Linked DNA regions of Alligator mississippiensis. The protein of the gene in region 2 purifies or fractionates together with the protein of the main gene of each other region. This does not show direct contact. Links are inferred from orthologs where the notes say so. Each region holds a gene or a part of one and is shown on either strand. Other genes may lie near its edges. The genes, in order: POLR3C, POLR3H, CRCP and POLR3E.

Region 1 (8,043 bases), on a different chromosome or scaffold from region 2:
CCTCCTGAGAACACAGTGTCCAGGAAGCGTGGCACCAGGAAGTTCCTAGTGCCAGCTGCCTCACCCACACTGTTTCTAAGGATGCCATGCTTCCCAGGAGGATTTACCCTATGTCACGCAAAGGTAGGCCCGAGACACTGGCAAGGGCAGCGGTGGGACTACTGTAAGTCATAAGTTCCTGAAAACAGTCTCGTTTCCACATCACAAATCTCATCAAGATACTACTGGCAGCTTACTTGCTGCTTCCAGAAGCTACAGCACTCACCCAACAGCTATGGCTGTGAAAAGGCTAACAAAGGACCCTGCCATCTTGGCAGCTGCCGAGTCTCCAGATTTCTTTTACAGTGAAGACAATAGCTTCCCTGCCTAAAACATGCACCTTAATTTTCAGGTGTGTGTGGGAGACGGGGCTGCACATGGTACATGAGAAAATATGGTAGCAATTGCCTCATCTTCATTAGGATTTTACCAATGAAAACAGGCCTGTACCCTGAGCAAAAACAGGGTCTTAGAGATCTCTCGACTGTAAACGTCCCAATGAAGAGGCACAGCTGTGTTGTAATCCTGTCTTGGCTGCATCGCCAGTACAGTCAAGATGGGTTCTTTATACTGACAGAGGACAATCTTTTTGGCAGGTGTGCCACAAATTATCCCCGTACCCTCCCCGAGTGCCACTCTGGTCCCCTTCCCGACCTGCTGCTCTGCTTTCTGTTCCCTACCCTGTGCTGCATGTTCCCTGCCTCATCTGCCACACTCCCTGCACACAGCCTAACAGTGGTATCCACACTGTAAGTTGCCCACCCTTGTTTTATACCATCCTCGTGGCTGAGCTGCCTGGCACCGAATGCACCGCCAACACCACGAGAACCGGCATGCAGGGATCATTTAATCCATCTCGAGACGCAGCCAAGGCCCGAGGCGACAGGCAGTAGCTGCTGGGTGGCAGACAGCTGAACTGAGCAGCGGAGCGGCGGGGATAGTCTCACACGTACAAGGGTCTGCAAGTGTTTTTGACGAGCAAGGAAATATTATAAGGAAACAATGTGCCCCCGATACACCCCCCCCCCCTTCCAATGCAACTGCAAGAGCCATTTTCGCCTTGTGGCTGGAGGAGAGCCAGGAGGCCAGGCACAAGGATCTCTCCTCAACAAAATGAACAGCAAGATCTTTAATAGCAAGGATCAGCCAGGATCACAGCAGAGCCGGCAGAGGGGGATGGGGCCGTGTCCAGGATCACTGGGCCCTTTTGGGCTGGGAGGAAGGAGGGGAATGTCTTTAAAGAACAACCAAAGCAGGCAGCAGACATTTGCCTCGCTGAGGGTCCCCACCACAAGAAAGCCTCTCCAATCCCCCACGCGCAGTCAGACGTCAGGCCGCTTGTCCTCCTCTTATTTTGAAAGGGAGGCAGAGCCACAGGACATGCACCAGCAGCACTGTAGCCACCCCAAATGGGTGATGAGGAACATGGTCACCCCGCTATCCCCCACCACACACACACAAATATATGGGGCTGGCTTCCAGCCAACATAACTTCCAAGATCCCCACTCCTCATTAACTGTTTCCTATGTCTATCACTGCAGAACCCATTGGCCACGTGTGGATTGGTGTAGCCTGGGAAGTGGACAGGCCAGAACATGGCTTGTGGCAAGGGTTGCCCTGCCCTGCAGAGATCCCCTGGTGGTGTGTGGCAGGGAGAGGACCGGGGGAGAAGGATGACATACTAATATAACCCGCTGTTGTCCATTCTGGGTGGATCACAGCATTGGTTCCTGACTCAGGATCTCTGGCAGCTCTGCAGCAGCCCACTGAGATCTGACAGTGTGGGGGAGGCAGCCAGGTCCCATCACCATCAATAAACCCTGATGGAAGTCAGGCACTGGCTTCAAGAGATGGTGGATCCATACATCTGCATCTTCTCCAAGGAGAGACTGATACTCTGCTTAGATAACCCCCGGTGTAAAAAAATCTCCTCCAGGTTTTACAAATCAACTGCCAGACTCCCTCGCTCCGTTCAGCTGGCATTACCCTCATCTGATAACGCCTGCCAGAGTGCTGTCAAGAAAAGCTCCCAGCTTTGCAGAGAGGAAATTAGCACAGAGAGGGGAAGTGACTTGCCTGACGTCAGAGATAAGTCAGGGGCCGAGCTGGGATGAGAAGCCAGGAGTCCTGGTTCTCAGCTGTAATCGCTGGTTCACACTACCTCCAGACAGACACGCCTGGCAGAGACCTGGGCCAATGCAGATTTGAAAGGAGGCCCTAATCAAGGGCACTGAAAACAGCAGCCCCCCCTTACCCACACACCCCAGCTGAACCCAGCAACTGTCACGGTTGAACAATGGGGAAACTGAGGCACATAGAAAGAGTGCTTTGCCCAAGGTCAGAGAGGGGATCAGCTTTAGAGCAGTGATCCGAACGCAGGCATTGTCCTCACCTAGTCTGACGCTCCTGGCTGAGCCTTGGCCAGAGATCACGAACACACAGGCTCCAGAAGAAGTGGTTCCAGAGTCTGGTCCCAATCGTGCTTCCAAATGACGCTGGCTACTGAGAGCAGGAAGGAGCCATATTCTCCCACCACTCAAACAGCCTGGAAGAAAAGAGCCATCCCCTAACTCAAGCCATTTCCTACCAGGGATCAAGGGCAGAGAAAGGTGTTGCCACCCTGTGCAGGAAAGAAAAAGCAGCAAGATTGATGGGTTTGGCTTGGTTGGTTCCAGCCCTGAAGAAAGTATTTATAAAGCCTGGGAAATATTTGCCACTTCTGAAGCACCCGCAAAGATAGGATTATGCTTAGCGCTGCTGAAATGCAGCCACCTCTGGGGTGGAGTGCAGCACGTCAAGAACACAGCTCATCACCCAGTGACAGCAGCGAAAGTGAATTCAAAGCCAAGGCTGTGACGTTGCTCTGGGTTTTAAGAAAAGTTTTAAGAAAAACCAAGCAAGGCAGGCAAACCACTCTCTTTTGCAAAGGCAGCCAAGCAAAGCCCTGCCTGGGCCTTCAAGAAGGGATTTCAGTCCCCGAGTGAGGAGACTGAAAACAGGCACTGGAGTCCCAGCAAGAGAGGAAAGACATGATGCAAAGACGCTGGAAAGAGCACGTTGCCCAGCCCCACTGTTATGTGCCGCTCAGACAGCCGGGCCCAGAGGCTGCAAACAAAACGTGCTTTGGCCATCAGGAAATCCTGAGTCCCGGCTACGGAAGGGAACGGGCTGCGAACGATTCAGGGCAGCGTTTCTCTCTAACAAAGGAGAGCTGGAAGAGCGTGGGGGGCCTATCCAAGTTGGCAGAGGCAAAACGACGGGGAATTCAGGAGCAGGGAGCGAAGAGACCATGCCAGAAGGCTGGGCTCTTAGCTGCAAGGACAGCGGGCCAGGATGCTGAGATGTAGCACCTTGGGCTTCTCCTGGACAAGGACGAGCCGTGCCGGGGCTGCAGGAACACTGATACCTGAGCATACATCAGGCAGGGGCAGGGCAGTCATGTCATGCCAGGCTGCTACACTGCGTGAAATCAGGCACCTTGCCACCTCCATCCCTGGCAAGGAGAGGACCAGCAGCAGCACAGGACCTGCTCTGCTCCTCCATGGGCCAGGGGGACGCCCTGGATCTGCCCAGCTCATGCCACCCCCTACCCACAACTTCCTCAGAGCCAGAGAGCACGGAGGGACCTCAAGATCCAGGGGGCTGTGATCTTGCCCCAGCTGCCGAGGATCTCCTGGCCACGCTCCCGCTCAGCAATGAGGCAAGGGGTCTCTCGCTTTCAGACCTGGGGAAACTGAGGCATGAAGGGGAGGGGACCATCCCCACAGGACACAGAAGAAGCGGCACCTGATCTGGTTCAGGCTCCTTCGGCTGCCCCCCCCACGCCCGACGACACCTCGGGTGACAGGACAAGCAAAACAAGGATGCCCGGAGACGCTCGACTGCAAACAAACCTGCCTGCTACCTTGGGCATGTGGCCGAGCGGAGCCTGCAGCCCCCCTGCCCGGCACTGGGGGAGATGCCAAGGAGGCAGCCGGGGCTGGGGCTCTGCCAGGCGACCCCCTCGCTCCCCGGGGCAGGGAGACGCACCCTCCCTCACGCTCTGCCCCCAACAAGGCTTTTGAGGCAGCCGGGGGGACTTCTCCGCTCCCCCCACCCGGGGAAGGTCCCTCTGAGGAGTGGGGCTTTCCCCCACTGTCAAGGGGGCTGGGGGGGTCCAACCCCCCCCATGGGGAGGTCCCATGGGCCAATGGGATGCGCCGTCACTTCCGGGGGGAGGGGCTACCCCTGGGGGGGGGCTGATCCCCTGCATTGCCCCTCCTCCCCCCGAGGGGGCATTTCCCCTCCAGGAGGTGCTTGGGGGGGTTAGACCCCCTCAGGGGCAATGCTGGGGTTCACCCCCCCCGGGGAGGGTAGCTGGGGTCACCTTCTCACCCACTGGGGGAAGGGATCACCCCCCCCAGCCCCAAATCGAGGGGGGGGCAAGTGGGGTGAAGCCCCCACTCGGGAGGAAGGGCAACAACCCCTCCCCAACTGGGGGCTTCTGTATTTGCCCCTCCCCCAATGAGGGGGCTCCGGCTCCAGTCCCCTGAGGGGGTCGCCCCTCCCCCCCGGAGGGGGGCGCTGAGGTTTGACCCTCCCTCCGCCCCTTACAGCGGGGGGGGCGGGATGCAGCCCCCCAACCCGGAAGCCCGCGTCCCTCTTACCGGCAGCTTGGGGTTGACCTCCCCCTTGCAGCTGTGGCAGAAGAAGCGATGCTGGGACACGGCGGCCGCCGCCGCTGCCGAGGCCTCCGCCATTTTCTCTCCCCCTCCCCCGGCTCCCTGCCTGCCGTCAGTCCTCCGGGAGGAGCAGCGAGACTACGGGCGGGCCGGATAGAACGGCGGCGGGGCCGCTCTAGCCCGCAGCTTACTCCCCAGTCTCTTCTGCTCCGCTGCGGGAAAACGGAGCCTTCCGCTTGAGCAGCGAGGCGGGAGGGTAGAGCGGTTCCTCGCTACTTCCGCGTTCCAGTCCTCCCAGCAGCCACAGAGACGAGGGGAAAGCCAGAGCGCCACCCGAGAGTCCTCAATGCGCTGGGCGACGTTAGACGCAACGGGAGAGGGAGAGAGCGCCCCCTGGGGTCCTCCAGCGCCACCAACGAGAGGTAGCTAGAGCGGCCACACCAAAGAAGCGAGCGGAAGTGATCCTTGTTGAACTGGAAGCTGAAAGCCACGGGGTTGCTATGGTTGCTGTCGGGGCCTAAAAAAATTCGACCCCCTCCCCTCCCCTCCCCCAGGTGAGATGCAACCCAGGCGTCGGGACACCCCCTCCCCCCCCCGGGCCTCAGCTCATCGTCTTCAGCCTCAGTTTCCCTTGGAGGGGGAGGGGCCCGTCTCTAGCCTCAGTTTCCCGAGTGGGAGTGGGAGTGGGGGTGGGGGGAGGGGCGGTTTGATACAGCTGCAGATGTGAACCCATCAAATCCATTTCTGGCACAAAGCGTGAGCCGCCTCGAGTCCGGACTGGACACCGCAAGAGAAACCGGCATCTCCGCATCCGCCCGGCAGCGCCGACCCGTTGCATCCCTCGTGACGAAACCGCGGACGTTCGGACCCGACTCGACGCAGGTGTGCGGTTTGCCGGCGGGATGACGCAGGCGGAAATTAAGCTCTGTTCTCTGCTGCTGCAAGAACATTTTGGAGAGATCGTGGAGAAGATAGGCACGTACCTCGTGCGGACCGGCGGGCAGCCTCTGCGAGCGATTGTCAGCGACACCGGCACCTCCCTGGACCAGGTACGTCCCGGGCTGCGCCAGCTGGCGAGTCGGCGTCCGCACGCTCAGGGGAGCCGGCTGTGCTCGGGCGATCTCCGTACAGCTCGTCAGTTCCCGTCTCCGGAAGGTTTCCCCACTTCTAAAATCTACGTGCGAGACACAAATTGGCGTAAAGGAGGTGCTGACTTGAAAGCAGATTTTTTTTTAAAATTGGGATAGATGGTTTCATCGGGCTCCTGCTGCGGTCCAGGGGCGTCTTTGCCACCAGTGTTAACGAGCGGATCCCAGACGTTACCTCCCTGCCGCCGGGCGAGTGGGGGGTGCCGTTGAGATCTAGCTGGGAAAGGAAGGAGCGAAGCTGGAGCAGGGGATGGAGGTTAAGGGTGTGAAAGACTGAGCTGTTTAACAATTAACGGTGAATCAGAACGCAGCGCCCTGCCCCGGACCTCGCACGTTGCCTCAGCTCTGGTAGCCTGAGATGCCCTGGGAATTCGCAGCATCGGGTGAATTCACTTCCGTGGTGAAAGCTTAATAGCTTTATCCCAAGCTGATAAGAGCTCATGAACACAGCACAGATACTGCATCGTTCGAGTTGCCAGCCAGCCCCCCCCAACCCTAACCCTAACCCCTCCCCCCTTCACACACCCCTCCTCTTAGTCCATCGATGGTGCTGTGCGTTCCCAAGTCCGTGACTTGTCCCTTTCCGGCTCCCACAGGTGAAGAAAGCCTTGTGCGTCCTCATCCAGCACAACCTGGGCACCTACCAGATACAGAAGCGTGGCTTCGTGGAGTACAGCGTCCAGTGCAGCCGAGTGCTGTGCATCCTGCGCTACCCGCGCTACATCTACACGGCCAAGACCCTGTACGGCGACACGGGCGAGCTCATTGTGGAGGAGCTGCTTCTCAATGGCAAGATGCCCATGAGCGCCGTGGTCACGAAGGTGGCTGACAGGCTGACAGAGACCATGGAGGGTGAGTGATGGGGGTGTTGGCATGGCTGAGAGACGGGATGGGGACTGCTCCCTGGGGCACCTCATCTGGCTGGTGCTCCCTGGATATATCTCGCCACTGGTGGGATTGGATCAAGCTCAGGGGAATAAGAGGATTCAGCACCAGGGTGGGGGATGTTGAATCCAGACCATAGGGAAGTGATGGATGGACATCTGCTGGGTGGCATCAGTGGGTTTTGTGTCTTGGAAGGGCTGTGTAGAAAACCAGTGCGCCAGTGATTCCCCAGGAGAGAGCTTGGGCTGCCAGCTCCAGGGATGGGGGAGCAGCAAAAGATAAACAGCAAGTCAGTGCTCATGCCAGAGACAGAGCTGGTTTGCGGGCATATGCTCCCACCAGACATGATGGTATAACACGTGCCAATGTGAACTTGTCCCTGTGTCAGGAAACCAGGTTCAAGGCTGCCGAGTTGGCTTCTTCGCTGCCGCAGACTCGCTGGAGGACTTGATCAAGTCGAAAAAGACTTGATCAAGATCTTCTCCAGGTCTCAGTTTGCCTATATGAGTTCTGAGGTGAAGGAGGAGCATTTCCTGCCTAGCTTGTGTCTTAAAGATGAGTTTCTCAGCTGTGGGCTGAGATGGGAAACCCACTCTGGTTGTGCTTGGATTTTCCCTCACCTCTGCGCCGGTTTCTCTGATAGATGCATGTCTAAGTAGCTGGCCTTATCAGTATCTAATCTGCCAGGAGTGGGGTATCTGAGCTGGAAACAGGAGACTAAACACTTCTAAACATGACCTTGAAACTTCAGGTGCCCAGTGTATGACACAAGCCTGTTCAGCATCCCTGAAAAATCAGGTCACCTCAAGTAACCCCCTAAAAAACCAGAGGCTTCCAAAACCGCCATCTGCCTCTGAAAACCCAGCCCATGGCCTCTGAGGCTGGTAGGAGCAAGGGCAGGGCATGGGGTTGTAACCCAGCTGGCACAGTGCTAGCAGCTGGGCAGTCAGGATCACGAACATTCACCTTCTCCTTGGGATCCTCCTGTCCAGATGGGAAAACCATGGACTACACTGAAGTCTCCAACACCTTTGTCCGCCTGGCAGACACCCACTTTGTGCAGAGGTGCCCAGGGGTCCCCGATGCTTCTGGGCCATCAGATTCGGCAGCACCTCCTGCGCCTACGCTGGTCATTGACGAGAAGGACATGTACAGCGTCCCCAGACTGAACCTCATAGGTGAGGAATGAGCTGAGCCACCCTGATCAGGGGCACGGTGGGAGCAGGAGGCATGATGAGAGTTTGGACAGGAATCCACGTTCAGCGTGATGGAGTCAGAGGGGAACCTCTGTCTTTGGCCTACAGGGAAG
Region 2 (7,970 bases):
CCCCTCCGTCATGGCAGCGCTCCGGACTTAACGGTTGTTTCACTAACCAACTGGAGTGCTCCAAGAGCGTTACAGACAGACAGAGGGACTAACCCCTTTATTATATAAGAATTCCTCACCAGTTTGTTCTATAGCATTAAAGAATATATTAAATAAGATCAGAGCCACAGAATCATAGACAAGTAGAGCGAGAAGGGACCTTCAGAAGTCATCTAGTCCAACCTCGTGCCTGGGGCAGGATCATCCCTCTCCAAACCACCCCATTCAATCCACTGTCTAACCTCTTGGCAAAACTACCGTCAACCCTGACACAGCACAAGACACAACACCCTAACTTGCCACAGATAAAGTGGGGGACCACAGCAGCCAACTTCCTGCTTCTTTAAAGATAGTTAATACATGCTCAAGAGATTCCAGGAAGAGGGCCATGCCCCCTGCTACAGAATACCGAACTGATCATGAGGTTAAATTCCCTTCTGACCCCAAATATAGCAATTGGTCTGAACATAAGCAGAGGGGCAAGACCCTCTAGCCAGTAATCTCTCACTTTAACTCAGAGCAAGAGTGCTGGCATGGCCCAGTCAAAATCCCCAGCCCTGGCTGCATCCAACACCCAATGCCTCTGAGGAAGACTTAAAAAACAAACAAACAAACAAAATCCTGAAAAACCCTGACACACAGCAGGGGAGGTGAGGTGAGGGGAGGGACTTCTGCCTCAGTCTCATGCAGCAACCTGCAAAGCCAGGACAGGAAATACCCATAACAAAACATAGGCATAGCTATGCCAAGATCATTCCCAACTAGTGGCTGTCCAAGTTCTTGAACAGCTCTAGTGGAGAGTCCACAACTTCCTAGGTGTCTATTCCATTGTCTCACTGTTCTGTGATATTTTTCCAGATATCCAGCTTAAACCTACTTTGCTGCAACTTAAAGCCACTGGTCTGTGCTCTCCTCTCTGCATGAGAGAAAAGGTGTTTTCCCTCTTCTTTATGGCAGCCTTTCAAGTATTTGTAGACTGGTATTACACCCCTCTTAAGCACCTCTTCTACAAGCTGAATGTGCCTAGCTCCTTCAGCCGTTCCTCGTATGATTGGTCTTCCAAGCCCTTTATTGTTCTTGTCTCCTACCTCTGGTCCCTCTTTAACTTCTCCACATCCTTTTTAAAATATAGAACCCAAAACTGTTTACAATACACTAGACAAGGCCTAACCAGTGCTAAGGACAGAGATACTATCGCCTCCTGTGACTTACACCTAATACTTATATTAATGCATCCCAAAACCAAATCTGCTTTATGTGCAGCTGTGTCACGCTGCACACTCATATTGAGTCTGTAATCTACCAAGACTCCCAGATCCTTCTCCACAGTGCTGCCATCCAGTCAGGTATCACCCATTTTGTATTGTTTATTATTCTTCCTGAGGTGTAGCACCTTGCACTTGTCAATGCACCTTTCACTTGCAGCTTTCCAATCTGTCGAGATCTTAAACTGCTGCCCCTGTTTATGGTGCCTCAAGCACTTCAGTCTCTGTGAAGATCCTCATGTCTAAAGTCATGCTGAAACTTTATTTCTAATAGTCATCCACGGCTTCCAGGAACTCTGGGTCATACATCGTATGCTCAAAGCTTTACCTTATTGGCTAACTTCTTGTTCAGCTCCTCTGCGATGGAGTCATTGAGTTTTCTTTCAAACTGCCAGGGAGGAATCCGCACTGTATCAGTCATCTCCACTAGGACAAACATGGTGGCAGGCAGCAACAGTGTCCCTGGGGACAGACCATGAAGACCAATGAGCCTGGAAAGGCTCTTTCTGATTAGAGGATGCCTAAGATCATTTCACACCTCAAAATGGGTGGGGGGAGGATCTGGAAACACATGCAGCCCCTGCACTGTAAACCCTTTACCCTCTTGAAGTATTAAAACCCTGTCAAGTCAGCATACAAACTCAAGCAGCTCAACTACAAAGCAGGACCATCTGCCAGAATCACTTGGCAGGAGGCCCTGCCCAAGACACCTCAAACAGTAGCTTTCTTTTAGTACCCAGAAGAGATGCTTACTTTCAAGACTCAAGTTCAGTCCCTTATCAAGGTGAGCTCATTAGGCAGAAATCATCTTTTCTTTATGTGCAGGTAGGGCCTTGCAATGGGCCTCACAACATGGGTAACAAGATGAAAGGAGCAGGGCACCACCCTTACTGAGGTCAACTTCTACAAGCCCAAATCACAGTGGCAGCTTACTGCACCCTTTTCTGGGTTCCTAAGCAACGGCATACTACAGCACTGGCTGCTACATCCAGATCTGGCACTGCCTGCTGACAACATGGATCTGGGTGTCCTGGGTAGGAAACCGCACAGGCCACGGGCACAAGAGAACCATTCATGAGGAGGAAATAAGTGGCATGCACTAAGGTGGGGAGGGGAGGGGCAACCTGTGCACGCAATAAGTGGCAGGTGCAGCCTCTGTGTGGGGCACGCAGCACATCAGGAAGGGGTGTCCGTCCAGCAGCACAGTGGCAGGCAGAGCAGAAAGCAGAGCAGTGGATCTGGCAGAGAGCAGAGCGTATGACAGGGATCAGAAAGCAGAGCAGCAAACAAGGCAGGAAGAATGGGGCAGGGAGCAGAGCAGATCAAGCAGGAGGCGCAAGGCGGGGAGCGGAGCAGAGCAGAGCAGAGCAGCAGATGGGAGAGGAGCAGGCGAGGAGCAACACAACCCTACGTCGCAGCTGACGCAGAGGGTGGGGCCCGCCGTGCTCCCGGCAGGCGCCGCTCAGGGGCAGGGAGAAGCCCCGCCCGTCGCACGCGCCCGGCCCCACGCGGGGTGGAGGAGAGAGGCCGGCGGGAGGCCGCGTGGACACAGCAGCTCCACACAACCACAGAAAGGGGCCGGGAGCGGCCCCTCTGGCGCCGCGGTGCAAGACGGAACGCAACGGGACCACAGGCCCGACCCTCTTGCTACGCATCTTACCGGCAGCGCGTGCGGAGCTGCAGCAAGTTGCTCTCCTGGGCTCCTCAGCCGCTTCCGGTGCGGGAGCCAATCACCCTCCGGGGAAGGTCCTATGGGGGATTGATTGACACGTAGAGTCTAGGTCACATGACCAAGTGAACGGAGGGCTCTCTCCTCCCTCGCGTAGGCCCCGCCCCCGGGCCCTCCCCGCCTTCCATTTCAAGCAGGGCCTGCGGTCCGCGTTCTGTTGTCACCATGGAGACCAGAGGCTGTGCTGCGCGCGCCCCCTAACCCCCGCGCCCGGCTCTGGACAGACACGCAGGCGCCCCCAGGCCCTGCCAGAGCTTGGTCTAAGCCGGCCGTGGTTTAGCGGGGCGGCCGGGTGCCCCGGGGTGCTCGGACCCGTGCAAGGGTGCAGACAGCATGACCTCTAGTGGGGGCTGCGGACACCAGGCACCCGAGCCACAAGCCTCCCAGATTTCCAACAGGAGCCCAGAGGGTCCAGACCCTCCTGCCGTGCTGCGGGCTCGGCACCAGCGCACTTGCACTACTATTTTTCCAAAGTCAGAAAAACAAGGCAAAGGCCAGAAATGGCATCTCCCAAGGGCTGCCTCCCGTCTAAGGAAAGGTTACCTTGCATTTAACAAAGGTCAAGAGCCACTGGTCTTAAACCGATGGAAGAGATCTGAGGGCAATGGGGAGTCAGAAAAAGTAGGACTGGAAGGGACCTCCAGGCATCATCTAGGCCAGTGGTTTTCAGCCTGTGGTCTGCAGACCCCTGGGGGTCCACTGACTGTGGCTCAGGCATCCGTGAATTTAAGTACAATCAAAAGTATATGAATATCAATACTTCAAAGGGGTCTGCACCTCCATTCAACATCTTTTAGCTAGCTGCAAATGGAAAAAGGTTGAACACTAATCCAGCCCCCTACCTGAGGTAGGATCATCCCTATCCACATCATCCCATACAAACCATAATCTAAACTCTCCGTAAGACTCATCACCCCTGATGCAACACAGACCTAATGCCCTGACCTGACATAGCAGCCAATGTCCTGCTTCTGTGAAATGTTATTACATGTTCCAGACATCCCGGGTAAGGGCCACAGGCCCCACTACAGAGGAAGGCAACCCCCCACCACAGTCCAAACCAATTTGCTCATGAGGTGAAATCCCTTCCTGAGCCCAGTATGGTGATTGGTCTGACCCTGAGCGGAAGGGCAAGACCCTCTGGCCAGGAACCTCCAGCTTTGCTCCCAGAAGGAGCACTGACACCACAGATGAAGTCCCCAGCCTTGGCTGTAACCAACACCCAGTGCCTCTGAATAGGCTTAAAAACACCCTGACCCGCAGGAGAAAGACATAGACATTGCTTGGCAATTACTGCAGCGACTGCCAGAATGCGTCACCATCTGTGTGACTGGCAGTGCCAAGAGGAAAGTGTTGGGTGGAGACTTGGGGCTGTCAAGCTGCCTGCACACGACTTGGATGCGAGCTGCACTTGCAGCATCTCTTGCTTGTGGCTGTCTTCCTAAAGAGCCAGATTAGTGTTAGAAATGTGGAGTTCCCTCAGGTTAATCACCCTGCATGTGAGACGTGATGTGCTTCTCTCCAGCTGCCGGTCATCTGTCAGCTCCAAACTCTCCCCTCCTTTGCTGTCTGTGGAGATGAATTCTCTGGCAGCTTCAGATGGTGTCAAGGTTTTCAATTAATTAAATGTGAAAGTAAATCATAGCAACAGCGTGCTGCCCCTCTTTATGATTTATTTTGCTACTGTAGTCCTTCTGCCACATGCAGCTTGGCAGTAAAAGGAGATTAAATTATGTAAGGATTCCTACTCACAAACACCACGAGCCTTAGCACTTGTTTCTTCCTCCCTCCCTCCCCCCTGAAAAAAAAACCTGGAAAATAAAATTGTGCTCAGGATGAACAATAGTTCCTCACTTGTGAGGAATGACTGAGGTTTTAACACAAATACAGCTTTTATGGCGGGGAGGGGGAGGGAAGTGTGGTATGTATCTGGAGAAGCCAAGTGAATGCAGCAATGGTATCAAGTGAAGCTACCACCTCCAAGTACCTCAGTAAGTCAGAAATCCAGCCCTCCTCCCATAGTTGTCAGTAGCTGGTGAGATAACCACTGCTCTCTTGCCCTTTTTGTACTCCACTCACTGTGCACTGTCCAGGCTTGGAAAAGTCCAAAATCTGAGCAGGTACATCTCTTGTTGATAAGAAGAATGCCGTTCTGAAGACTTTGGTATCCACCCCAACTGAAGGATCACAACTCTGGTGCTGGGTAGATCCTCGTTGGAGTCCCTCAACTAAGCTGCTGCTCATATGATACTCTACACTGTCATGATACTCTAAGCTGCCTCTACACTGTCATCTCAGCTCTGTTCACTGCCCTGAAGCTACCTTAGCATTGTCATCTCAGCTCTTCACGCCACCTCAAAGCAGGCTCTGCAACATCTCAGGTCTTCAGAGAAGAATCAGTGGTATAGAGAATGCCAGGGAGTCCTTTTCCTCGTCATGCTCAGGGATGCAATCCTCAGCTGCTTCCTCACTCGCTCTTGCCTAGGGCACCTTTTACCTAGCCACTCCAAACCATTCAGTTAAAGAGAGCCACTAGCCACATTTGATACAGTTCACTTGTCCCTTCATTCTCAGACACACTTAAAAGCATTTTATTAGCCCCAACTTCAAGACTCAACTTGGTTTTTTTAAATACCCCAAACAGTTGAGGAGGCCTGTCCAATCAGTCACCTTCCCTTGCTCAACACCAGATACCTGCTGACTGCTCTTTTCCCTCTTGGGACCTCTGCCCATCTGGACTTCTCAGGCAGCTCTGGGCTTCTCTTCACCCTGATTATCAGGAGGCATCCACAGTGATGTCTCCACTCTTTTAAGGCTTTGAGCCATTTAGTTACATCTGATTTAACTTAATTTGCACCATTATATTCAGCTTATTTTATTTACACTGTGCCAAATGTTCATGCGCCCCAGTGTTTTGTAGAGTAGTTCTCAGGGGAGAAGATAGAGGTGTTACAAAAGCAGCAGTGGAAATTTGGTATCTGAAAAGGTGTGAGAGTCAGTTTGTACTTCATGCACAAGAGGCAGTGGGAGGCATTTCATATTGGTTAAAGGCTGAATCTCCTTTTCCCCTTCTCTTTGTGACTTGAAACACTAAAGGTGTTTAACATTGTTGACTTGAAACACTGGAAGGGCCACAAGTTCCCCAACTCCAAAAACTAAGTCACCTACCTCCCCACTCTCCCCTGCTTAGTGTCTGCCATTTTATCCACAGATGATTAACAAGTGTGTTAGCTGAAGATTTCTGCTAAAATGATGCACTAAACTAAGTAAAAGTGATCATTGTTAGGCTGGCTAACATTACTGTGGAGATAACAGTCCACATCTCTTTGAGAGCTGTTGTTTCAGGCTGTTTGCAAACTCAGGGGGAGGGGAGGAGATGGGAGGCTACGGAAGCTGCATCTATTTGTATTTAAATCATGTATGGAAGATTTTTTCCCACAATAAAATGGCTTGAAACATAGGACTGGCTACTAAACAATGTATTAACAGGCATAGATGGAGTTGTGACTGTCACAACCCAAAGGTGTGATTTTTGTTTGTGTGTGCTTTGGCACTGCTGAATTATTTCCCGCCACTCGTAGCTTTCTTTGCAGGGTGCATTTCTAGGTTGCAAAAGAGAAATGCACGGTGCAAGGAGTTCCCGCCATTCGCATGCAAATTTGTGTCCCACTATTGGCCAGTTCTAAATTATTCCCACGTGGCGGCTAGCGATTGGCTTGCTAGCCGTATAAGAGGCTTGAGCGGTTTCTGCCCAAGATGGAGGACTCCACAACCATCTGGAGGAGGAGAACTTTGCATCTTGTGAAGATCTCTAAGTGCTGCGGAGCCTATCAGACCCAGTGTGTATTTCAAGAAGGCTATAGGGGTCTGATCAACCTCTGGCCTCTCCCCGTCGCCGCCTGATCCCTCGACGTACCCTTCCCTGCGTGCAAGTTCCACGGAGCCTAGCAAACTTCGTGTGAGTGTATCCAGAACTCTGTCTGGGTTCAAGTCCTGCAGGTTTATTTTCCCGTCACCAAAAACCCATTGCGACGTACTCTCGTGTTTTGCATCTTCCCGTCACCGAAAACCCCCTGCGACGTACTCTCGTGCCCTGCAGGTTTGAGTTTTGTTTTGTTTTGTTTTGTAACTGCAACTCAAGCAAGTTTTCCTGCCTGCACCGCGACCATCTTCGGTGTAAGTAAAATAATCTTAAATCAACCACTAAGCGTCCGTGCCTAATTCTAGCGTGCTGCCTGCCTTCCCCGACCCGGCGTGTCCGGGCTGCTGGCCACAGCCCGCCGCGCGAAAAACCCCCAAGGGCCTCAGACCGCTCCCAGCCCGCACAGTGACAATTAATGCCAGCTGAGAATCTGACCCTAAAGTTTCTACTCCATAATTTTACAACAGTGGAAGGATTCTGCAGCAAACAGAGCATCTTAGAACATGTGAAAGACAAGGGTTTTTGCTAATGCCTGAAACTTGACAAAAATATGAAAAGAAAACGTTTGAAGTATATACAAAAAGCTTTAAGGAAAAACCAAACAGCTCAGTGACTGGCAGTCAAAACCGCACTGTCAGCACAATCACTTTGATGCAAATTCTAATTCCTTCCACTGGCAAGCACCAAGACAGTAACGAGTTGATACTGAGTTATTAGAAACTGTACTGTCTTGGGGAGCAAAGTTAAGAATGTTTCTTGCCCTTATTAACCAAATATATTTCTTTCGTTATGAGTTTTGTGGTTGGCATGATGGCATCTCTTGTATTATTCCTATCCTTGTTTCTTTTTCTTTATAAGCTTATGTGCTTGGCATGTTTTGGGTTTGTTTTTCTAATGGAGGGCTGAACACAATCATAGGCTAGCACTGTAGCTAGAAATAATCGTAGTGGGGCCATGTTGGCAAGCTTCCACCAGCAGAATACTTCAGTAATTCAATACTAAGCATCTCCTGCTA
Region 3 (7,322 bases), on a different chromosome or scaffold from region 2:
GCCTGTCCCGAGCGCAGCCCCAGCCCAAGCCCCCCCACCAGGAAGAGCTCCGCGCAGCCCCGGCCCCAGCCCACAGCAACAGCCTGTCCTCGCCCTGTGCGCAGATCCAGGGGCACACACCTGCCATGCCCCCCTGGGGTGCATGCAGCAGTGAGAGCTGCCACCCTCTCCCCGCACCCTCCGGACAAGTCGCTTGTGGCTCTGTCCCCCGCTCCACGCCAGCTGTGCAGCACCTGCCCCAACCCCTGCCTAGCCCCACTTCCTCCCTCACCACAGGGGTCTCGATCTGCGTCCCCATGCCCGTTTCCTCACAACAGACTTACCAGCCAGACCCAGCTGCTTTCCATGCTGCTGGGCTGAGCTCCTGCCGCCTGTGTGCTGCACTGCGGCTGGGCGGATGCATGGGGAATTACTGGCCACATCAGCCAAAAAAAGCCAATATCTGATAGTCAGTTTTCCTTATATCGGTGCCAATCTGATATGGGACCCATGTATTGGTGCACCTCTAGTAGCAATCACTTTTCCTGTGCCAGCATAGGAAAAAGCAGCAGTAGTGGGCACTTTCCCTAAGCCAGTGGCGGGCACTTTTCTGGTGCTGGCATAGGAAGCAGCAGCAGCAGATGCATTCCCTGTGCCAGCAGCAGGCACTTTTCCTGTGTCAATGCGGGGAGAAAAGGCTGTGGCAAGTGCTTTGCCCACACCAGAGGTGAATGCTTTCCTTGTGCCCATGCAAGGAAAAAAGCAGTGGGACCAAGTACAGGGAAAAGTGGCCGTGGCAGGCACTCTTCCCACGCCAGCACGAGGGGAAGCAGCAGTGGTGTGTGTTTTTCCTGTGCCTGCCATGGGACCTCCCTTTGTCCATCTGCCTCTGACTTGAACTGTGTCAATATGACCTGCAGTCTTAAAAAGCTGCTGATCACGGCATTAAACTCTACTGAAAATTAGGGTACGAGTAAACTTACCTCAAAGTTACTCAGCAATGCAGCATTGGCATCTTTTCTAGAAAAAGGAATAAAACATGTTTCAGAATATTTTGTATAAAAAAAATTTAAAAATCACCATCTTCCTCTCTACTAACACTAAAAAGTAGAAATCGTTAAATTCAGGAATTCTTTCCAATAAAATTCTCAGGATCACAATTTTGTTAATTCCTCCACTGTTCCTGGCTGTTGCTACCTATGGCAGTCACGAATATTTTACACAACCTAATTATGCTTATTACTATTAGACAAGAATATTTGGCTCAATTGATCCACAAAGTAGTGTTTAACTTGCTCAGCAAAATCCTCTGAATTGGGACAGCCTACTACCATTTCAATTAACAGCCCATTCAGTTATTCCTTGCTCCTTAAAGTTTTGTCTGGATAAAGTGACGCACAAAACAATAACAGAAATCTACCGAGTGGGTAGATACAGATATTGAGATGTAACAGGGGGCTTCCTCAGGGCCGATCTCCATGGCCTGCCCACCTGTCCTTGGGCCAACCGCCCGCTATCTCACCTGCCACGCCTTGGCGTTAATTGATTCATTAATAGATGTCACATAAGCGGGAAGCTACCCATTTTAGTGCCCCAATGCCAGGGGGTGCTCTCTGTGGCTCCTATCCTCCCCAATACCGCAGCCCAAGCCTCGCAGATGGCATCTAGGTGTTCATCTCCTCACCGGCCCCCACGCTGGGCCCCTGAATCTTCCAAACAGGACCCCTCCCCGATCCCTCTGATCAGGCGGCCTCTCCGCCTTCATCTGGGCTACCTAGCCCCCCACAAAGCCATTTTCCCCTCTCGGGTGTGGTCCCCCCGGGACCTTCGGCCACTAGCCCTGGCCCACCTCCAGGCCAGTCGGGACCCCAGGCCCCTGGCTCTTGGGCATCCCTCGCCCTTTAGACCCTCCTGGTCCTGGCCCCAGCATGGGCCAGTCGAGGGGACTCCCTCGTCCGGGTCGGGTCTCAAGCCCCTCACTTTCTCCCAGGGTCCGCCCTCTAGGCCCTTTACAAACACTGGGGTTACCCCCCCGCTGGTGGGGGCAAGGGGTTAAGGCGCCCCGACCTGCCTTTCACCGGGGTGGTAACCGGCCTGGCATTTCCTGGGGGCTCCCGCGCCACTGAGAGCCCCACCAGGCCACCCACTCCCGGCAGGGGGCAGTTTGAGGTCATGCCCAGGACCAGGAGCCTCCTTACCATCCCCTTCAGCTCCTCCCTTACCTCCAGGTTGTTTTCGGCAGCTCTCCAGCCAGGCGATGTTGCTGCCTGGCCTCCAGCAGCCAAACTGCCCTGTTTATATAGGCAGCCCTTGCCTCTAAAATGGCTGCCCTCGTCAGGCACCTGGTGGCTGCCAGCTCCAGGCCCTTAAAGTGGCAGGCGCACACAGTGCCCTGCCACAATAGATAATGTATACAAACACACATACAGGTAAGTGAGGTCTATATATGTATCTGTAACTATGCACACACACATACTCTATAGCATGGGTGGGCATTATTTGGGCTGGAGGGCCGCTTACAGAGTTTTGGTGAGCTGTTGTGGGCCAGGTCAGCAATCACCCCCACCATCAACAGCTCACCAAAGCTCCCTAAGTGACTCCATGATGAGCCAGCAGCTGAGATAGAGCTGCGGGGCAGGCAGAAAGCGGCATCCATGAGCAGGACAGGTGGGCAGGTCCAGGGCTGGAACCGGGGGGGATGTGACAATATGGACAGAGCAATGATCTGCTCCCCACACACCCCTGCAATGGGTGCTGGTTCTGCGGGCAGGGGCCTGGGGGGAGCAGATCGCAGCTCTGCCCTGGGCCCCAGCCCTGCACTGCCACTGCCCCACAATCCTGGGCAGGTAGTGTGGCCAGGTGGATGGGATGGGGCCGCAGGTGGGTGGGGAGCAGCATCCAGGAGCTGGACATGCAAGAGGAGCCGGATCCAGGATCTTGGGGCAGTGATAGTGTGAGGCCAGGAACTGATGCAGAACTGCAATCTGCTCCCCACACACCTCTGCCTGCGGAAACAGTGCCCACTGCAGGGATGCGTGGGCAGCGGATCAAGGCTCTGCCCCAGGCCCTTTTACTGCCCTGTGATCCTGGCTCCAGCCTGGCCCTGGCCTTCCCCACCCGCGCTGCTCCTGGACACCGCTCCCCAGCCCCATCCCCTCCACCTGGCCGCCCACCCTGCCCACATGGGTGGGACTCCTGGCAGTGAGGCTGGGTCCAGTGGCAGTGGCAGTCAGAAGGAGCTGCCCCTAGCCTGCTTTGCACCCTGGGGGCAGCAGGACCAGCCGCACATGCCACAGCCTGGGCTGCTCCCCACAGTCCCGGGGCTGATCCAATTATGCAAGAATCGCTCTTACATATTATTGCTGGATCGAACAATCTGAGTAAAGTGTATTTCTGAATTGAGCATGCTCCCATTAATTAGACTAGAAAATATTGTAATTTCATATTTTCAAGTAAATACAACTTCTGTAGGACAAGCAGCGAGGAGCTAGCCATATATCCTGAGAACAATGCATTCTGCTGAGTCACCAGACAGTTACCATACAAAGGGGAAAAAAAAGGGCTTTTCTCAGGTCTGCGACAGCACATAAAAAAAAGCAAAATGCATTGTCAAGCACCATCAACTCTCTGAATAGCACTGTCACATTCATCACAGTCAAACATGTGAATGCCTTCCAAACGTCCACAGGTTCTATCATTGTTTTTAAATGAAAGGGACCTTGTAAAATACGCTGAGATGAACTTAAAATTCCAATTAGCTGATTCTAGTGAAACTTCAGCAAGTGAGCTCACACACGCATCAGTTTCCATTCATGTTTTACAAGCCATATAGCTTTTGTAGTTTTGTTCTTAGGTAAACACAATTCTTTGAAATCTGCATTCAGCCTATCTCCGCAGAAATCCCTATGCACGGAGGATGTTCTTTGTTTCTGGAAATAATAGCGCCATGGAAGAATTACATACAGATTCTTTCCATTAAAAAAACTGAGAAGATCCTGGACTGTATATTCAACAGGCAAGCACAGAATGAATCAGCAGTTCGTTTAACTGCGATTTTATACTGTTTAAATCAAGCGTGGGTTTGTTTTTAAAATGGTAAACCTTTTGGGACCACAAGCACTTAAACTTCTTTTGTACCAATTAACAGCAAACAGAAACCCATCCAGTTGTCAAGCTGTTACTTAAAAAATTAAGTTTTTACTAGCGGGATTGATTATTGCTAAGGGTATGGGGAGATACAAATTTATTATAGCTACAAAGTCCTCTTGCTGTTCAGTACTTTGTCAAGCTACGAGGATTTTAAATGAAATAATATAGCAAACATTATGGCCAGCGTGCTTATTCAGGTTGATTTGTATCATTACAAAAAAAATTGGCAAAGCAGAAACAGACTTCAGTTTTTATGTCAGTCTGCACCGTCGTATGAACGTCTGAACAACCAAAAAGTATGCATGCAATATATCAGCATGCAGTTTATTTTTATAGCAATTCTAATTTGGGGATTTTACATCAGTTATCTACATAGCGCACTTAGGAGTAACCTGTACATGGAAAAGGAAAAAAAAAAATGACTTAATTTGAAACCTCTTCCGTAAATATATTTTAGATTCCTTTGGGAAAAAAAAGTATTTTTTTAACCTAAATTACTAAGATCATCCTCATGTACTACAGATTCGTCTCATCTTAGTCCATAAGAGCCACTCTTTTAAGATATACTTTAGAATACAATTGCCATGGTACGCTCCTATAGGAAATTAAACAAAAATGATCCATTTCTAAACCAAACAGCTCATCCTCCTCCCCCTCTATCCAGGCCTTAAAAACCTCCAAGAATGCAGCCTCCCCCACGTCCGGGTGACCTGCTGCGGCGCTTCACCGCCCTCCTAGTGAGAAAATTTTCCCCAATGTCCAAAACTCAGTAAGTGGCCGTCGCCCCTGGTCCCCCCCCGTGTCACCGCCGTCAAGCGAGGCTCGGAGACGCCCGGGGTTTCTTCAGAGGCCTTCATGTTGCCATCTGCGCGGCCCACGCTTGCAAATCTACTGCGCGGCCAGGAGCATGCGCACGGCCAGGCCTTTTCTCCCCGGGGTTAAGAAAATAGCGTTTTTGGGAGGGGGAACGGCCCGGGGGTGAATCACTCCCCACCCGGGGACATTTTTGCTCTGGGAGAAAACAAACCACGACTCTCCCAGTCCTCTCCCCGCACCCGCGGCCTCTTCCCCCCGCGCGGCCCTTACACGTCCATGGCGCCCGTGCTGCGTCCCGGGGGCAAGGAGAAGGACGAGGGGGCGGGGCGGGGCGGGGCGGGGCGAAGCGCAGCGCAGCGCAGCGCAGCGCGGGGGCCGCCGGGAAAAAGAACGTCGGAAGCGGCAAAAAAAGGTTACACTTGCATTGGCCGGGAATCGAACCCGGGCCTCCCGCGTGGCAGGCGAGAATTCTACCACTGAACCACCAATGCGGACGCACGCGGTGCGGCTGCCCCGCTCGCTCCTCCCGCGCCGCAACGCCCTGCACGGGCTGCCCTGCACTAATTGTGGGTCCCTTCGGGTCTGCCCTGCAGCACCCTGCTTGTGGGTCCATGCAGGTGTGCCCTGCACCAATTGTGGGTCCATGCAGGTGTGCCCTGCCCTGCTTTGGGGTCCATGAAAGTCTGCCCTGCACCAATTGTGGGTCCATGCAGGTGTGCCCTGCCCTGCCCTGCTTTGGGGTCCATGCAAGTCTGCCCTGCACCAATTGTGGGTCCATGCAGGTGTGCCCTGTCCTGGTTGTGGGTCTGCCCTGCACCGAACACTTTGGTTGTGGGTCTCTGCAGCTTTGCCCTACACTAGGTGCATCTACACATCGCCATACGGGAACGGTGTGACTGCGCTGTGCTTTTGGAAGTACTAAAACATGGTGTGGTAACCGCCTGGACGGTGCCAAATGGGCACCACGTGTTTAAATTTTCTCGCTGTGTCTCCAGAGCAGGGCACCGTAAGCGGGGAGCGCGCCACTACTGCGACGTAGCTAGCGATACGTCGCCGTAGCGTGCCATGCGTCACTATGTCGCCATAGGGTGATGTGCAGGCGCGCCCGCTGCTTTGGTTGCTTCTTGCCCTTTCTCCTGACGGTGAAGGGAGAGGTTTCACCTGCCCACAAAAAGAAAGGCCCACTGCTGGCACAAGGCTTGGCACAGGCAGAAACACCCCAGAATTCACCAGTTTGAGTTGTGTGTGTCCCAGCCAGCTTCGGCTGTGATAATAAAAGGGGAAGAGTGAATCAAATCATTTTTGTCCGTCCAGAAAATGAACTCCGGGCCTTGCACGCACAGCATGTCGCCATCACCTGTGTGAACAACATGATACCTTATAGGAAATCCTCTCCTGGGTGCCATCAGGCATTTCTTCCTAAAGTGCTTTTATGGGTCTCATCAGCTGACACACCAATATTCCACCTTCTTCACCGCCCTCCCACTGGTTATAACCTCAATATATTGTATTACAGTTTGCATCAACCCCGTTTCAACCCAGAGAAAGCGAGCTCCGCTCTTCTCCGGACACAGCTGAGAATTGCTTTGGATACAGCACGCAAAACAACGGCCTTGCCCGTGACCATAGGACAGGCCTGCGCAATACAAGAAACTCCTTGTGTCCTCTGAGTTTAGGGCCATGCTATTACTTGGGATCCAGCAAATAGCCATCGAGCCCTAATGACCCAGGGAGGTGACCCAAAATGGTATCTTCTCTAGAAGAGTCAGCCTCTTTCATCAATGAAAGGACTGAAATATGAACCACCACGGTCATACCCCTGGAACCACCACAGTCGTTGCACAGTGACAGCAATGAACAAACACCCAGATCAACAGACAGACTCCAGAGAGAGCTAGAGTCGCCTTTGTTTGTTCATGTGATTTACTGACCCTGGCACAATATGGCCAAAACCAGCAGAGCAAAGTCCTGCGACAGCTCTGCCGGGTGCTATACGATACCACGTGCACCTGCTTTTTTATGCTTAGCATCTCATTTCTGTCTTCCAACACCAGGTAATTATCTGCATCTTATTTGATATCTTTCCTAGGGCTTCGTTCCTGAGCCCTGCTATGCACTTCAGCCACTGGGCTCTGGAGTTCATGCACAACCAAAATTATCACTGTGCTCCACACAAACTACTTTCCAAAGAGAAGATGCAAAAGTAGTGATTAGCCCAGGTATCTCGGTTTTTAATTTCTGTACTTCTGATTGGACTCAGCGGCTTGGGATGTGTACATTCGAGTATCCATAGGGAATGCAGACATGGAATTTTCTAAATGTGCAACGTATAAACATTTCAAGCATAGGATTGTGATTGTTACCACTAAGGCTCAATG
Region 4 (7,291 bases), on a different chromosome or scaffold from region 2:
CTGTGTGGGACTGGATGTTTGTGACATGGTAGGCCTGATGGTCTGAACATGTCTGTCTGCTGCCTTAAAAATGTAGGATGTCCTTGGGAAGATGCTTATGTGCTTCCCTCCCAGGAGTTCCTGCTGCCTCCATTGCTTGACAGATGCCAAGATGCATTTCCTCAGCTTTCCCCACATTCTCTCTGGAGGGCTTTTTCTGTTTCCTCCTGGCCATCAGCCTTGCTGCTACTGTTGAAAATGTCCTACTCAAGGCTACTGTGCTCAAGGACACTGATAAAAGAAGATAAGGATCCTGTATTTACAGCAGTAGCAGGAAAGGAAATGTGACTGCATTATCTGGGCTGGGGAGAATGTCCTGGGGAAGAAATGTGTGTACTGGGAGGAAAAAGAGGAGAAAATGCAGCACTTTCCAGAGCTCCCTTTCCTGACTGCTGCTCTGGCCTTAGCATCAGCTGTGCTGGCAGTTGAATAGTGGGTGTCTGAGGAGAGGTTGTGGGGGTTTTAGTATCTCTGCCTTATCCTCACAGAAGGAGTATCCTCCTCTTTGATGCAGGGTGTGATGGTTTCCTCCTTGAGTTCCCTTTGAAAATTGTCCTTTGAAATGCTCACTTCCAGGAGCAGGTCTAGGGGCATGGAGCACCATGAAAAAGGGATGCATCGTGGGTGTCACTTGGCAGGACGACTCAAGCTATTTGCTTGCTGAAGGGCCTTGGCCTTGGCCCAGAAATCCTCCTTGTAGCCCTTTGCTTCCACGCCCTCCACATTTGCCCTGTATACAGTGTGGTTCCCCAGGAGCAGGGCTTGGACAGGCCCTTCTCCCACAGGCTGAGGAAATCCAGCACCTCCTTCCTATGCCAGGCAGGAGCACAGGGTTTGGATCTGTGTTTGTCCTTTATAGCAGCTTTACATGGCATGTTTGCCTGCTTGCATGTGCATGCTACCAGGGGCTGAGTATGTCCCAAAATTGCAGGATTTAGAGGGAGGAATTTAGACACTGGAATTGCTTTGGGATAGCTGCTAGACCTGGCACAAGAAAAGGACTGTCCACACATACTTCCTGTCAACTGCCACTGGTATTTGGGGAAGCTGACAGAAATCTGTGACTTCGTTACCATTTAGGCACTTTGAGCACAGATGTGCACACTGTTACTGAGAGAAGTGTTGACCAGGCTGAAACTGGTGCTTGCTGTACTCTTTCCAGCAGGAGTCAGTGGTGCCTGCTAGTGGCACTTCCAGAAGATGATGGGCTGTGCTCTGACCAGGGAGTTAACAAAGCATGACCCTGCTTCTGGGCAATAGAGGAAGGCAGTGGAGTACAGACAGGCTGGAAGGAACAGGACAGGGGATTGTGGGACTGATGATAGAGGAAGACTTCCTGCGCACAGCTATGCTGCAACCAGAGTTCAGAGGTGGGTAGCACCTGTGGGGTACAGCCTGTGAAGCCATAGATTATGGACTCATCTTGCACTCACCCTGGGATGCAGGTGTATTGGTGACTGGGTGAATCAGTCATGGGACAGGCATGGGCACAGGCCCAAGCTCACAGTGAAGTTCAATGTAAACACACACATGATCATGTGGCCAGGGGAGTTGACCTAACACCTGCTCTTCCAAGAAGCCCTATGGATCATTAGTGATCACTCAATCTGGGTCTCAGCTGAACATCCTTTCCAAGGGACGAAGTGCTCTTAATCCCCAGTTGCCCTTCCCAGGGGTAGATCGATTTTCCATCATCCTCTGCGAGGATCACAATGGGTACATCTACGTGTGCGCTTTAATGCGCAGTAGCCTATTTTACTGCACATTAAAGCAGGGCATAAAAAACTCTGCTATTATGCTAATGCATAGTAAAATAGGCATTATGCGCTTGTGTGAAAAGTGCAAATAATCTGGGAGCAATTCGCTTTAAAGTAAACTCCTGGGTATGCGGCTACACATGCAGGGATGCAGAAGCAGATCCTAACAGCAGACTGCTCCCACACCCTGTGGCCCTGCACTGGGCCTCTGCAACGGCCAGGGGGAGCTCTAGGCCCCCACTCCCCATCCTGAAGTGGAAGCTGGCAGCTCCAGCTGTCAGGGAGCTCCCCAATAAGGATCTCCCGGTCCCCACTCCCAGGCAGGCAGTACATAATAAGTAAGTAAGTAATCTTGACTGTTTGCTACTTGCATTTGCAGGTAGCAAATATACTAGTGATTAGAGCAAATTACTGTTCAATAAGCATCTGCACATGTAGATGGTGACACATGCAGTAATTAGCTCCTAATCTTAAGTGAAGGTGTCCAGTGTTACCTAAAACACATGCATTTGTGCTACTGCACATTAGAGCAGCCTAATGTGCTTTAATTGAGTACCTCACATTGAAGGGTGCCTGTACACGAGCCTGGAGGCCGCTTCAGTGCGTTGTAAGTAATTGACTCTGCTGGAACGTGGCAATGACTGTGTTCCAGCAGCCTCCCACATCTTGCGTATTGTGTCCCCTCGCTTCAAAATGGCAACAGGGGAGCGTGAACTAAAGCTTGTTAAACGGGCTTTAGTTCAAATGCCCCTGCTGCCATTTTGAAGTTCAGGGACACTGATACAGAAGCTGCTATGGCACTTTAATTAGAGCGTGAGCTGCTCTAATTCAAGCTCCCCACCCCGCAGAGCATGTGTAAAAGTGCCCCAAGGTGCTAAATTTAATGCGCATTAGGAAAAGTGCAGTATTGTATGCATAGGTGACTCATAAGGAGGTATGGGGGGGGCACATGCCCCCCCTGAGATTGGCTTCCACTTGCCACCCTCCCCGCTGCCACCACCGCAGCTTCTGCGGGCAGTCGCCACTTGCTGCTGCTGCCACTGGTGACTTCTGCAGCCGGCCACCAATTGCTGCTTGTCGCTGCTGGCTTCTGTGGGCAGTCACCCATCGCCGCTCGCTACAACCCCCACCCCTGCTGCTGACTTCTGCGGGTAGTTGCCACTCGCCACCCTGCGGCTGACACTGCCGCCTACAAATTGTGCCCCCCCAGTCTCAGAAGGCACCAGTCCTTCATGAATGTACATATAGGTGCGCCCAGCTTTAGGCAGCCCACACTGCTATTATTGAGTCTGGGATACTGGCAACAGAAATTGGCCTATCGTGCTGAAAGCCCAACTCCACCATGGCAGGAAGTACAAGTATGAGGGGCCTTGGGGGCATGAAATGCCAGAGCTGGAGACTTTTCAGAACAGCGCCCCCGAACAGCAGCTGGGTCCTTGTGGCAGACAAGTGACGGGAAGGTTTGGCTCCCAGTGGCTTCTGCCCAGCGCCCTTGAGAAACGCCAGAAGTTACTCCCCCTTTGGCATGGGTGACTGGTGCCTCCTGAATCTGGGGGGGCACCTGCAGAAGCTGCCGACCCTGTCAGGGAGGGCACCGGCCCTACCGACAGCATCAGTGTTGGCCCTTGAGGGGGGCACATGCACCCCCTATCAGTCACCTCTGCCCTTCGCGTGCGCGTGTGGTCTGTGCACTGCCTCCAGGAGACTTTCTGGCCCTCTACCCATGGGCATGAGCCTGCCCCTCCCTATGCCCCACATCCAAGTGTAGCCAGTGGTGCGCACTCCCTGCGCCTCAGTTTCCCCCAGCTGCAGAAGCGCTGGCAAGAAAGAAAGGACAGAGCCAAGGAGCCCTTGCATGTGAGCAGCACCCCAGGTAGCACACCCTGTTTCCCTTGAGTGTTGGTCCTGGGGGGCCCCCGGCTCTGCTCTGCCCCGTGCACAGAGGTGGGTCTCCAGCTGCCGCGGCAGAGCGCGGGTAGAGGCGCCGCGGACGAAATGCAACAAGGCCCAGGCTGAAGTTAGCAAAACTCGGGATCACAGCACAGCCTGGGGGCTGCAAGGGGACGGAGGCAGCAGGGGCACCGGGGAAACCCGGACAAGCTCAGGCTCTCTCAGCACAAGGGGAAATGCGGACAAACGCCGGTGGGGCAAAGCCTTGGCCACGCTGGCTCTAGAAGATAACACAGAGATAAGTGGGCCGCAGCAGACAGCCCCATCATCTGGGTAGCGTGGCCGAGCGGTCTAAGGCGCTGGATTAAGGCTCCAGTCTCTTCGGGGGCGTGGGTTCGAATCCCACCGCTGCCAGAACATTTTGTCCCTGCGCTCTTTCCCGGCCGCTCCGCAGCGCCGCCTGCCGGCCCGGCCCGGCCCGGCCCGGCCCGGCCCGCCGCCCGCAGCATTGTGGGTAAAAGGAGGTCCGGCCGGGCCTCCCACGTGTCTGCCGGAGTGGGAGCAACATGGCCGCCGCCTGAGAGCGCCCCGGAGCCGCACCGCGCTGAGGGGCCACCGGCGCCCGCCGCTCCCCGCAGGTAGGGATAGGCAGGGCCGGCCGCCGGGGCCCGGGGCGGGGCCGCGCCGCAGGATGGAGATCAGGCCCGGCTGACAGCGCCGGGCCGGGGTCCGCCGGATCCAGGCAGCGCTGGGCGGGGGTCGGGAGCCTGTCCCTGACTGCGGGGCTGGTCCCGCTTTTGGGACGCTTATTTCCCCCTGCAAAAAAATAAACATAAAAGCAGGGCCCTCGCCCCGCCAGTGCCCTGGGAAAGTGCTGCGGGGAGATGGAGGCCTCGGTGCCTGCCTGGCAGCCGGCTCCCTGGCTCAGGCACTGCTGCATCCTGGCTCACAGCAAGCCACCTCCGTCCTCCCAGCAGCATTTCTGCCTCCGACCCTCGTTTTGCCCCCTGCCCTCCCACCCTGCCTGGCATCAGGGTGCCGCGAGAAAGTAGGTTCTCCAGTTACCAAAAATGAAATTAAAAAAAGGTTTTGGCAGCAGGGAGTGGCAGGGTGCAGGCCGCCCCACCTGGGCCACAGGCCACATGGTGCCTGCTTTCCCTGACTCACTGACCAGGTGTCCTGGGGTGTGGCGGGGTTGTTTTCACCCCTAACGTGGTCACTAGCAGGGAGTGAGCGGAAGGGCCCGAGGGATTGTGCACGCCGCTACACAAATGCCGAGGCACTGAAAAGAGGTGCTTGCTTGATGAGGGACCTCCTTAAATCCCTGTAGCAGGGTCTGCCGGGCAGAAGTTACAGCACCCTGTGATGGGAGCCTTGCTGCACAACAAATCCCTGTAAGCTCCTTGGTCATTAGCAGGAAGTCCTCTTCCAAACCTGTTCATGGACAGGCCTGGTAAAGAGCCTGGTAAACATCATGTGGAATTGCCTTTCAGGGGCTTATGGAAAGCCTTTTAGCAGGCCCCGAGTTGCCGGATGCTAGCCAAGCCTGAGTTAAACAGGAGCAGCACCGGTATTTAGATGTGAAGCTCTTGAGGCAAACCTGGACGCTGCAGGAAATGATGCCAGTAACTCAGAAGGTGGCAGTCTCCCTTCGGTCCTGGGAAGGAGCCAGTGGATCAGTGGGACAGCGGTTCTCGGCCTTTTAGTACTGTGACACATGGCACTGGGAAATGTTTTGGGTTTCTCCCTATGTGTCCAGGGACTTCAGGAACATCTCCATGTACCCACAAAAGCAGAAATGTGTTACAGTCTCGGTGTTGCAGGGGACACTGTGCTGTTGGAGATGCTGTTTTTCAGAGAGACATAAAACAGGAGTCTTTGTTTTCTGATTGCTCAAGATCCCGAGGCTCACTTTTTGGGATACCCTAATATCCTGGCTCTGGTCATCTTTTTGGGTAGCTGGATTATATCTCTGTAAATGCTACCTGCAATTTCTGTTGGATATGATTTTTTTTTCACCTGTTCTAAAGTAGCTCGTGTTGCTGTCTGCATGTGTGTATCAGTGTCACATGTTCTCTCAGTTTAATTGACCAATAATGATTGGCACTTCTAGCCCCTTTTATGAATCCAAAACTGATATAAGACGACTTTGTGCTATCTATTCAGTTACAAATCAAGCATATTTATTTATATATCTCAATTTTTTTCTGTTATTCTTCTACTGTTCATGTATTTCTTTCTTCCTTTACTATATTTCTGTTGAAAAGGTTTCATACAGTTCTGTTTTTGTGTCTTTGAAATCCTTGAGTTTAGTTTAGCTTTCTTCACTATGGAAAGTTGCTTTTATGAATGTTATAAAACTGGTTTTGGTAACGATGCTTCCTCCCTATATGCTTCCTGCCTGTATTAGAAGTACTTCTAGTCATCTTTTAAAGGAATTGGAAAATTACTGGCACTTCTAATAACCAAGGGGTAGACACACAAAGGAACATCATGTAAAATACAGAACCAGTCCTTAGAGCAGGGACCAGAATGAGGGCCTTCTCCCGGCCCAGCAGTGGTCACACCAACACGCTACAGTCCTTCTGACTCTGGTTCAGTGAATCGTTAACTTTTTTCTAGAGAGTGGAACAGTTTTAAAAGGAGGGCTTGAGTGCAGCCTTTCATCAGTGTCCTGTAGCCTGGTAGTTAGGAAATGACAAGTACAAATCCCTCCGGGAATGGAGAGAATTTAACCTTGGTTTCCCACACCCTGGGAGAGGGTGTCCCACAACCACTAGGCTGAATCAAGCTCACTGCTTCCTGTTTCTTACAGCCCTGATCTCAGCAGTTGATACTGTATTTCCCTTGGCACTGTATAGCACGTAGTAAGGAACAGTCCTTGCCTTAAACAGTTTGTAGTTTAACTAGACCAGGCAGACAAAGAGTGCCTGCTTCCCCTGTTGTGAAGGGCAGAGTGAATTGACCAGGGCAGTGGAAGAGTTTGGGCTACAATCCAGTGTTTCTGAATCCTAGGCTAGGGTCCTTGTTATGGCAGTGCAAATCGTGCAATTGGATGGGGCCTTGAGCTGGTCGGAGCATTATGGTTATGGTGAACAGTAGAGACTGGCCAGAAACTATACAAGGCCACCCAAGTTAAGTGCCACAGCCATGCACCAGGCTGCTTCTCCTGTGATGCTTCTGCAGTTAACCACGCCTGTCACAACTCAGACATCTCTGGACTAAGTCCACAGCCAAGGTTCTGCTTTCCCCTGGATGGCAGCCCGTGAATACTCCTGTTCAGTAAGGGCCAGGGAACTAACTTTCACAGCCCAGGCTTGATGTGGTATTTTTCTTCTCTTTCAGATTGTGCTAGAGAGCCCAAGACAGCTTTTACCATTCTAGCATGGCAAATGAAGAAGATGACCCAATTATACAAGAGGTAGATATACACTGGACAACTGTGTACCTTTCCTCATATTTAGGTTTCTTAGCTTTTGGCTCTCCTGAAAGAATATCACTGAGCTGAGTTGCTGTCTGATGGTCAGTAAACAATAGCATACAAAAGATATGAGGATTCGGTGCACAGCCTGCATTTTCTCTGATCAGTGGCAAGTCATGCTCCG

Evidence for each region.
Region 1: the proteins of POLR3H (region 2) and POLR3C purify together in Homo sapiens (affinity purification with mass spectrometry; 5 studies listed by BioGRID and IntAct, with this or other methods). This does not show direct contact. The link is inferred for Alligator mississippiensis from reciprocal best matches to the Homo sapiens genes POLR3H and POLR3C.
Region 3: the proteins of POLR3H (region 2) and CRCP purify together in Homo sapiens (affinity purification with mass spectrometry; 4 studies listed by BioGRID and IntAct, with this or other methods). This does not show direct contact. The link is inferred for Alligator mississippiensis from reciprocal best matches to the Homo sapiens genes POLR3H and CRCP.
Region 4: the proteins of POLR3H (region 2) and POLR3E purify together in Homo sapiens (affinity purification with mass spectrometry; 9 studies listed by BioGRID and IntAct, counting the BioPlex papers as one, with this or other methods). This does not show direct contact. The link is inferred for Alligator mississippiensis from reciprocal best matches to the Homo sapiens genes POLR3H and POLR3E.

The regions. Positions count from the first base shown.
Region 1 is NC_081838.1:17,696,243-17,704,285, reverse strand, and holds the start of POLR3C (DNA-directed RNA polymerase III subunit RPC3), read left to right. Parts: upstream 1-5,031; 5' UTR 5,032-5,255; intron 5,256-5,456; 5' UTR 5,457-5,603; coding exon 5,604-5,750; intron 5,751-6,445; coding exon 6,446-6,701; intron 6,702-7,726; coding exon 7,727-7,912; intron 7,913-8,038; coding exon 8,039-8,043. Other genes in the region: E3 ubiquitin-protein ligase RNF115, read right to left, coding at 4,687-4,779. UniProt on the Homo sapiens protein: DNA-dependent RNA polymerase catalyzes the transcription of DNA into RNA using the four ribonucleoside triphosphates as substrates.
Region 2 is NC_081827.1:97,178,229-97,186,198, reverse strand, and holds the start of POLR3H (DNA-directed RNA polymerase III subunit RPC8), read right to left. Parts: upstream 3,067-7,970; 5' UTR 2,965-3,066; intron 2,666-2,964; exon of another isoform or gene 2,058-2,665; intron 1,767-2,057; 5' UTR 1,744-1,766; coding exon 1,633-1,743; intron 1-1,632.
Region 3 is NC_081837.1:10,088,376-10,095,697, forward strand, and holds the start of CRCP (DNA-directed RNA polymerase III subunit RPC9), read right to left. Parts: upstream 3,016-7,322; 5' UTR 2,405-3,015; coding exon 2,202-2,404; intron 1,000-2,201; coding exon 963-999; intron 1-962. UniProt on the Homo sapiens protein: DNA-dependent RNA polymerase catalyzes the transcription of DNA into RNA using the four ribonucleoside triphosphates as substrates.
Region 4 is NC_081836.1:46,616,407-46,623,697, forward strand, and holds the start of POLR3E (DNA-directed RNA polymerase III subunit RPC5), read left to right. Parts: upstream 1-4,216; 5' UTR 4,217-4,324; intron 4,325-7,031; 5' UTR 7,032-7,071; coding exon 7,072-7,107; intron 7,108-7,291. UniProt on the Homo sapiens protein: DNA-dependent RNA polymerase catalyzes the transcription of DNA into RNA using the four ribonucleoside triphosphates as substrates.